2 linked regions of the Macaca fascicularis genome follow. The protein of the gene in region 1 interacts with the protein of each later gene in a biochemical or structural test. Links are inferred from orthologs where the notes say so. Each region holds a gene or a part of one and is shown on either strand. Other genes may lie near its edges. The genes, in order: NTRK2 and BDNF.

The links.
Region 2: the proteins of NTRK2 (region 1) and BDNF form a complex in vitro, tested with the Homo sapiens proteins (3 studies listed by BioGRID). The link is inferred for Macaca fascicularis from reciprocal best matches to the Homo sapiens genes NTRK2 and BDNF.

Annotation. Positions count from the first base shown.
Region 1 is NC_088389.1:115,291,324-115,295,819, forward strand, and holds the start of NTRK2 (BDNF/NT-3 growth factors receptor), read left to right. Parts: upstream 1-1,682; 5' UTR 1,683-1,946; intron 1,947-2,461; exon of another isoform or gene 2,462-2,494; 5' UTR 2,495-2,583; intron 2,584-2,936; exon of another isoform or gene 2,937-3,391; intron 3,392-3,546; 5' UTR 3,547-3,922; coding exon 3,923-4,134; intron 4,135-4,496. UniProt on the Homo sapiens protein: Receptor tyrosine kinase involved in the development and the maturation of the central and the peripheral nervous systems through regulation of neuron survival, proliferation, migration, differentiation, and synapse formation and plasticity.
Region 2 is NC_088388.1:37,889,712-37,894,120, forward strand, and holds the start of BDNF (neurotrophic factor BDNF precursor form), read left to right. Parts: upstream 1-1,384; 5' UTR 1,385-1,538; coding exon 1,539-1,688; intron 1,689-4,409. UniProt on the Homo sapiens protein: Important signaling molecule that activates signaling cascades downstream of NTRK2. During development, promotes the survival and differentiation of selected neuronal populations of the peripheral and central nervous systems.

The sequences.
Region 1 (4,496 bases):
CCTGCATTGAAGGGATCTGGAAAAAAATCATCTCTATATTGTTCATCTGAAAAATGTTCATCATCTCTTACAAAGTCGTGATCTGAGAATCCTTGAAGTGATCTCTGGGACATATCTTATAGGTCTTAAAATCGAGATAGATCCACAATTCTATCAGTTAAGAAATAACTACTGATCGCCAATGTGTTCTAGACACTGTCCTTGGAGGTGTTGAGTTAACAGCATGAGTAAGTGGGAGGCCCTCTCTGGCCTGGTGCTGAAGCATATCTGGCTACTAAATGAGGCAGAAAGTAAGGCAAGGTTTTAAGCAGTGCTATGAGCACTCGGAACACAAGGAAGATTTGAAATTTTGAAGGTGAGAAGGAGCGTGTCTGGGGGAATAATCCAGGTTCTTGCAGAATTAGAGGTTAAGAAAGTAAGATCTCAACTTTATTTTATTTATTCATTAAAAATACACATATATTTTAACACCTACTATGTCCTTGAGATATATCAATGAACAAAATAGACAAAAATCCCTGCCTTCATGGAGTGTACATTCTACTGGGAGAAATTTAAAATATATATATGATAAGTAAATGATCTGTCCAAAAGACAAACTGCTATGGTTGAAATAGTAGAGCAGAAGTAGGGTGATTAGAAGTAGGACCGCAAATCCTAATTTTAAGTGGGAGACAGTCAGTGGAATATATTTAGAATTCAACTATAATAGTAGCATATATTTACTCTAATAGAAATTCTACAGATATTCCAACATAATTGGAATCTTGTGGTGTACAAACCACCGTAAAACTGCCTATTCTCCATACCGCATTGAGACATGCTGCAGCCACTAGGGCGCAAATGGGCCCTTTCTTAGGAAAATGGGCTGAGAGTATGGGAGTGTGAGAGAGATGTGGGTGATTATGCACACACACACTCCTTCCTTCCCCAAGTGTTCCTCAGGGGCTTCTCCACTTAAGGGGCACTGACAAGACAGGCGGAGTTTTACGTGCGTCTGAGACCAGGTCATTTTTGCCCTTGCTTCTCTTCCTTGGCACGTCCTCACCTAGCAGAAAATCGAGAGAGGCCCTGCTGAGGAGTAAACTTCAGCCTGGCCGTTCACCACTCAAAGTGTGTTACAGCCGAGCGACAGTGGTGAGACAGACCTGCTAGCCTTGCCTTCGGGACCTGCAGCAAGATTTTTGGGTGCTGTCCAAGAATTCCCGCGGTAACACTCAGCGCCCAGGATCTGTACAAAAAAGCCCCACTAGATGTTTTACGTTCCCTTCGTAATATTTAATGCTTGGCCTAGATCCGAGCATTCACTCTAAGGTTCGGTTTCTCGATCCTTCCCATCCCCAGCCTCTGCGGGTAGATCAGTGACTGTTACTATATTTTGAACGAGACTCCAACCCATTGCTCTCTCTGGAGCGGAGGATTGGCCGCCTTTTTCCCCGGGCCGGACCTCGGCGAGGCCAGGCAAGCCGCTCACTGGCCGGGCAGGGACGCGCAGGCGTCGGGCGCCGCTGGTTGCGCATCTGGCGCCAGAGCGCGCCCCCAGCGCTGTGCCCGCCGCGACCGTGGCGGTGGGCTGGTGCTCCGGAGCGTGCCGGGCGCTCTCTCCCCGCGCGGGGGCACCAGAGCCCTCGGAAGTGTCAGGCACTGCGGTGCATTTTCCCAGTTCGCTTTTAAATGACTGCGGAAAAACAGATTCCGAGCCGCAAAAGGGAAGACGGATTCTCAGACAAGGCTTGCGAATGCCCCGCAGCCGTCATTTAACTGCGCCCGCAGAACAATTACGGTTTGTCACCCGACCCTCCCGGATCGCCTAATTTGTCCCTAGTGAGACCCCGAGGCTCTGCCCGCGCCTGGCTTCTTCGTAGCTGGATGCATATCGTGCTCCGGGCAGCGCGGGCGCAGGGCACGCGTTCGCGCACACCCGCGCACACATGAACACGCGCAAGGTACGGCAGGGGAGCAAGGGCTTGGGATGCCCTGCATGGGGTGGGCATCGCGGGGAGTGAAGCTACGATATGGGAATGGCTACATCCCGACAGGTTAAAGGATGAGAGAAAATGACGCGGCGCCACACATCGGACAGGCCAGGGTGGCCACCGAGCATTTAGAATACGCATCAGGCGCGCTCCCTTCCCCTCACATGTCTCTATTTCCCGGGCGTGTGATGGCAGAAAACGGCAGGAAAAAGACCCACTTAGAGAGCTAGAATTGTGTTTGGAGACTCCCTTCCCTCTGCAAAAGCACCAACAGGAAGCCCCTCCAAAACCACCGATCCCCAAATAGGTGGCCCGGAATGGGGGCGGTGATCCTTGGTTACCAATGCAGAACACGTTTTGGTGTTTACAACATTTATTTATTTTTAGGATAGCTTGCCCTCCCTTTTAGGCAGGGTGGGAAAGGAGAACGCGGGGAGGGAGAAGGGAGGGAGGATTCCTATAATAAGAATCAGCGCATTTTTCAGAGCTGAACCAAGCACGGTTTCCATTTCAAAAAGCGAGCCAGCCTCTACCGCGATTGTAGAAGAGACTGTGGTGTGAATTAGGGACCGGGAGGCGTCAAACGGAGGAACGGTTCATCTCAGAGGTACCTGGATGTAAATTCACACACACACACACACACAGAGGCACGCGCGCGCGTGTCTACACGGCCAGGATGTGTGCGTGTGTGCGTGCGTGTGTGCGCGCGTGTGTGCACTCCCACATGCTGCTGCTGTCTGCTTCTGGCCAGTGGCACTGATGCCTCCCTCCTCCCTGCTCGCCCCCAGATTCCCCTCCCCTCCCTGGTGCTTTTGTCTGGAGGGTGTTATGGGTTTGTGTGTGTATGAGCGCGTGTGTGTTTTTGGATTTCAGACTAATTTTCTGGAGTTTCTGCCCCTGCTCTGCGTCAGCCCTCACGTCACTTCGCCAGCAGTAGCAGAGGCGGCGGCGGCGGCTCCCGGAATTGGGTTGGAGCAGGAGCCTCGCTGGTTGCTTCGCTCGCGCTCTACGCGCTCAGTCCCCGGCGGCAGCAGGATCCTGGACCCAGGCGCCGCCGGCGGGCGTGAGGCGCCGGAGCCCGGGTGAGCAGCGCAGACAGTGCCCTCGGTCGCCTCGGCCCTCCCTGTCTCCCCCTGGGGCGGCCTCGGCTACTCCCCAGGTGGGACGTGCCGCGCCACCTGCCCGCGCCACCGGCACCCAGCGGCTGTGGCGGATTCTGCAGCATCATTCGGGGCCCCCGTCGCGGAGCCAAAGCTGCCGGCAGTCTCCGCATTCCCCTTTAAAGGGTCCTTCGCCCGGCCTGTACCATGGAATCCTGTCTCGGGGACCCTTTCCCTACCTCCCCTCCCTTGGCCTCAGGCTCGAAGAGAGAGTGGGCACACTGGTGGCTCCAGCGGCGTCAGTGCCATCGCGGGGCAAGTTGATTCCTGGGCTGGAGCTGGGCACTCATCCATCCACAGTCTCCCGGCTGGGATCGGGGTGGGGATGATGCGAGCGCAGAGGGAGAGTGCTCCAATTAGTGGTGTTGGGGGTCCTACACTCAGTCTTACGCGTATCTGTTTGTCCTCAGCCTCGAGGTGCATACCGGACCCCCATTCGCGTCTAATAAGGAGCCTGCACCCCAGAGAGTCCCGGGAGCGCCGCCGGTCGGTGCCCGGCGCCCCGGGCCATGCAGCAACGGCCGCGGCGGAGCTCCGAGCGGCGGTAGCACCCCCCTGTAAAGCGGTTCACGATGCCGGGGCCACTGTGAACCCTGCCGCCTGCCGGAATACGCTCCGCTCCGGACCAGCTCAGCCTGTGATACGCTGGACTCCGCGCGCCCGCAGCAAGCAAGCACCGAGGAGTCAAGAGAGCCGCAAGCGCGGGGAAGGCCTCCCCGCACAGGTCGGGGAAACCGGCCGGTGCAGCGTGGGGACACTCACTCGGGCTGGCACTGGCTGCTAGGGATGTCGTCCTGGATAAGGTGGCATGGACCCGCCATGGCGCGGCTTTGGGGCTTCTGCTGGCTGGTTGTGGGTTTCTGGAGGGCCGCTCTCGCTTGTCCCACGTCCTGCAAATGCAGTGCCTCTCGGATCTGGTGCAGCGACCCTTCTCCTGGCATCGTGGCATTTCCAAGGTTGGAACCTAACAGTGTAGATCCTGAGAACATCACCGAAATGTGAGTTCCTGGAGCTTTTCCTCTTTTTTCGCCTTGCCCCTAGGGCCCGGGCTGGCCAGATGGGTAGGTCCTGAAAGTGAATGCTGTCTCAAGAGTGGGGAGAAGTCAGAGACAAGAGATGCAAGACAGGGCCATCTGTCAGTTACCTGTCTGTTTCACTGGCTTGGGACTGCCAGTGCAGGAGAAGTGTGACACTTTAGGATAAGTTTTAAATATAGATATACATATGCCGATTATATATGTATTCCTCGTGGGAAGGAACTCACTATGCTTTTTATATTTCAAAGCTCTGCTGGGTGTGCTTTAGGCTTTCCGCATGCACTAACTTAGTTTTGGGCATTTTTGTTTCATAAAGTGCTGTG
Region 2 (4,409 bases), on another chromosome or scaffold:
AAAAGGGTTAGCTTATATGTGTGTTTGCTGGGGCTGGAAGTGAAAACATCTGCAAAAGCATGCAATGCCCTGGAACGGAACTCTTCTAATAAAAGATGTATCATTTTAAATGCGCTGAATTTTGATTCTGGTAATTCGTGCACTAGAGTGTCTATTTCGAGGCAGCGGAGGTATCATATGACAGCGCACGTCAAGGCACCGTGGAGCCCTCTCGTGGACTCCCACCCACTTTCCCATTCACCGCGGAGAGGGCTGCTCTCGCTGCCGCTCCCCCCGGCGAGCTAGCATGAAATCTTCCTGCCTCTGCCGAGATCAAATGGAGCTTCTAGCTGATGGGGTGCGAGTATTACCTCCGCCATGCAATTTCCACTATCAATAATTTAACTTCTTTGCTGCAGAACAGAAGGAGTACATACCGGGCACTAAAGACTCGCGCCCCCTCCCCCCTTTAAGCAAAGAGAACGTGAAAAAATAATAGAGTCTGGGAGTTTTGGGGCCGAAGTCTTTCCCAGAGCAGCTGCCTTGATGGTTACTTTGACAAGTAGTGTCTGAAAAGGTGGGTTTGTTTTCTTTCTTTCTCTTTCCGTTTTTCTGTTTGGTCTGCTAGAAAGCGTGTGGCTTTAGCGAGGTCTGTCATTGCCTGGGCTTCCTGGCTGGAACAAGTAACTTGGTGTAACGTTATCTGGGGGCGTTCATCAATAAAAAATGCTGTTGTTATCTTGATTGAATTCCTATTAGGCAAACTCTAGAGAGGTCAGTGCGCGAACTCTGTTTAAGCCGGCGTGTTTAAGGCAGCGGAGTAAACCAATAGCCCCCATGCTCTGTGCGATTTCATTGTGTGCTCGCGTTCGCAAGCTCCGTAGTGCGGGAAGGTGCGGGAAGGTGTGTCTGTGGCCCGGGAAAAGCACGCCCATTCCCAGAGAACTTAGGTGCTGGGATGGGGAGGAAGGGGAGAGTTGAAAGCTAGGGGAGCAAGACCTCAGGGCGTGCGATCCTCACTCGCTCCCTCACGCCCCAGCGCGCACAGCCGGGGTTTCTGCAGAGGGCGCGGGACGCGGGGTTCCCCGGGGCTGGGGCTGGGGCTGGAACACCCCTCGAAGCTGCGGGCGTCCTGCCCAAGGCGCCCCGGGAGGGCGCAGGACTCGCAGGATGATGTCGCGGGGACCTGGGGGAGGACGTGAGGACAGGCCCTGGGGGAGCGGGGAGTCCCAGGCGCCCCTCGGTCCCCCGGGCGAGAAAAAGGCGCGGCGTTCCCTTTAAGCAGCCGCCCCGAACGGGTATCGGTAGCGCGGGCGAGCGGGGGGAGGGGGGCGGGGGGGTGGCGCCGTTTGACCAATCGAAGCTCAACCGAAGAGCTAAATAATGTCTGACCCGGGCGCAAGGCGCAGCCTGGAGCTCCGGGTCCCAGCCGCTGCCGCCGCCGCGCCCGGGCGCACCCGCCGGCTCGCTGTCCCGCGCACCCCGTAGCGCCTCGGGCTCCCGGGCCGGACGGAGGAACCGGCCCGGTGCGCCTCCCATCTCCTGCTCGGGGGGCTTTAATGAGACACTTGAATGCAGCTGCCACCGCTGCTGTGGGGCCGGCGGGGAGCAGCACCGCGACGAGGACCCGGGCTGGGCGCTGGAGCCAGAATCGGAACCACGATGTGACTCCGCCGCCGGGGACCCGTGAGCTTTGTGTGGACCCCGAGGTAGGCAAGCGCCGGGCATGGGGCTTGGTACGGGAGCTGCCGGTCCGCAGGAGAAAGTTGACTGGGGGACCCCCCAAAGTTGTGGGACGAGGCCAGTCTCCTTCTTTCCTCCCCGCCGGTAGAAGGGAGGATTTGGAGTTGCTCCTGGGGAGTTTTCTCCCCCATCCCACAACCCAGAAGGTCACCCGGCACTACCAGGGAAAAAGGGACCCGGGGAAGGCACGAAGTAGAGGACAGAAGGCCTGGAGGAGACCCAGAGCTGCGTGATGGGAGCCAAGACGGCGACCCGGGGATCCCTCGCAGTCCTCCCCCACCCCAGGAGGAGTCGAGAGAGACTTAGGGGGCCAGAGCTGTCGGGGGCCCTGACTGAGGGAAGGGTGCTGAGGCTAGGCTAGGAATCCTTCCAGGGGTTGGGTGGTCCCCGCGCCGACCTGTGGGGGGAGTGGGAGGGAAGCTTGCGCCTTGAGTCCGCGTGGTCCCCGGGACTGCACACGGCTACCTGCTTCCCAGGAGTTGAGACTGAAGTGGATTTACAAGTCCGAAGCCAATGTAGCTTAGAAAACTTGGGAGGCGGAATTACTACCGCTCGGAACTGAAAGGGTCTGCGAGACTCCCGGGCGGGCTACCCAGCCTGCGCCCCTCTTCTGAAGCGCCCTCCAAGGAAGTTAGAGTTTTGACTTTCGGGGACTAGGTGGGATATAGGTGGGGGATTCCTTACTCGGGTTAGTCTCTGGGGATGCAGAGCCGGGAAGAATGGGTGAGAGTGAGTTGCGCCTGGAAAGAAATAGCTGAGGATTGGGGGCTCTGTGCCCGACGGGCAAGAAGAAGGGGAGATTACAGACTAGGGGCAGCCCTAAGGAAGAAGCCTTGGGGCTGCGAGGGTGAACTGGAGGATGCAGTGTTTTTGTGTTGGGGGTGGAGCAGGGATGAGGGACCGAGGTGGAGGGGAGGCAAGGAGGAGGAGGGGACCCGGAGAAGGAAGCTAGGGAAGGTAGAGGGTGCCCTCTGCCGGCCATGCTGCCAAGAGCAGCTCCTGGGGGCGGGAGGCTGGGGGTGGGGAAGTGGTAAGGGAAGGTTTTGCGGGATCCCTTAGAGAGCTGGTAGGAGGGACTTGTTGAATGGTGCTGCTGACTCCAGCTCGGTAGGGCATGCGACTCGTCGTCGGTGGATTTTGACTCCTTGTTCTTGTTTGGCTTCTATGCAAGTTTTCCTCGCGCTGGAGGAGCTCTGATAAGCCTCGATTGGTGGTGTGTTAGGGCTTCTTGGATCTTATTTTAGGGCCCTCTAGGTATCTTACACTTACTCCTCAATGTCAGTAGCAACCAAAGAACGTTTTCCAACAAGCACGCAGGAATGTTCTTGGCCAGAAGCGAAGAAAATCATATTTCTGAGTGTTTATTAATCCTCCTAGTACAGTTATCTTTTAAAGCAAAGTAGTATGCAATTGGGAACGTTGATTTTCTAACTGCATATAAAAGGCGATATGCTATTAAATGAGACCCCTCCCTACTGGCTCAATATCCTGAAAAATCTCTCTCTCCCCTTTATTATTATCGAAAAATCTATTTTTATATGAGTTTGTTGTAAGGTCAAAAGCCATTTCGGTCTTACAATTTGATATGTCTTTACATTTTAATTTATTGAGCCATAATTACAGATTTAATTTGTCTGAACGTGTGTGCCTTCAATGCTTACCTCATGCAACATAATTTTTAGGTTGGAGATTTCTGATGTTATGACATGTAGCGATTCAAGACATTACACATAAGAGGTAACATAGCATGTTGAAATTACACCACAAAGTTTTGACCCTGGGAACAGCACCTTTTAAAAACCATCACTAAACCCCTGTTCGTGTTTTCTGATTTTTGCAAATGCCTTGCTTGAGACTTTTTATTTTTTTATTTTTGTTTTTTGGTAAATTTACCTCTGGGTGAGCAGGAGAGGTAAGAGAAAGGAAAGAGACACTTGTTGAAATGTAACCATAACCTTTACTGGAATTTAAAACATGTTGGTCACCATTACTGGAATTCCAGCGCCATAAAGTCGTTGTCTTTTTTTTCTTCTACTTCATTTTGTAAAATGTGATAAATGTTGGTAAATATAGACCAGTAGTAAGTATTATGACACGAAAAGCATTATGTATGTGGAACTATTTTAAGTTATTACAGAACATTTTCTATTTATAAATGATATAAGCAGAAAGAAATGATTTCCAGATAAACAAGGCTTACGTACATGTTTTGAAGCATTAGAACATTGCAGACACACTTAGACATCACATTTTTTAAAGCAAAATAACAGTAATTTTTCACATACCTTTGGAGCCTTTCATAGCCCATTCAGAGCTGAGTTAGTAGCTGGAAGTTTCGTGTATTTTAAGGTGATATTTTAAAGCCATTTAAGATGTATAGTAGGTCAACATTGGTGTATCCAGAAAATGAAGCATTTAGGAAATCTGTTTCAGAGTGTCTTTTCAATGTGTGTAACTTTTACTTGTAAATCAATGGAACCAAGAAAGTCGTCATTTGCCTAAAATGCAGTCATCACCTCAAATGATTCATTTATACTATGCGAGTTAATTGCCTTAATCTCATTAATGGCCAAGGAGGGAAGGGAGGTCCTGGGATATTTCTTGTTCATTTTGACTCACCAGGAGGGGAAAATCTTGTTAAAAAAAAAAATGCAAATTTCTAAAATCCTGGCTCAAAGTCCTTGGAT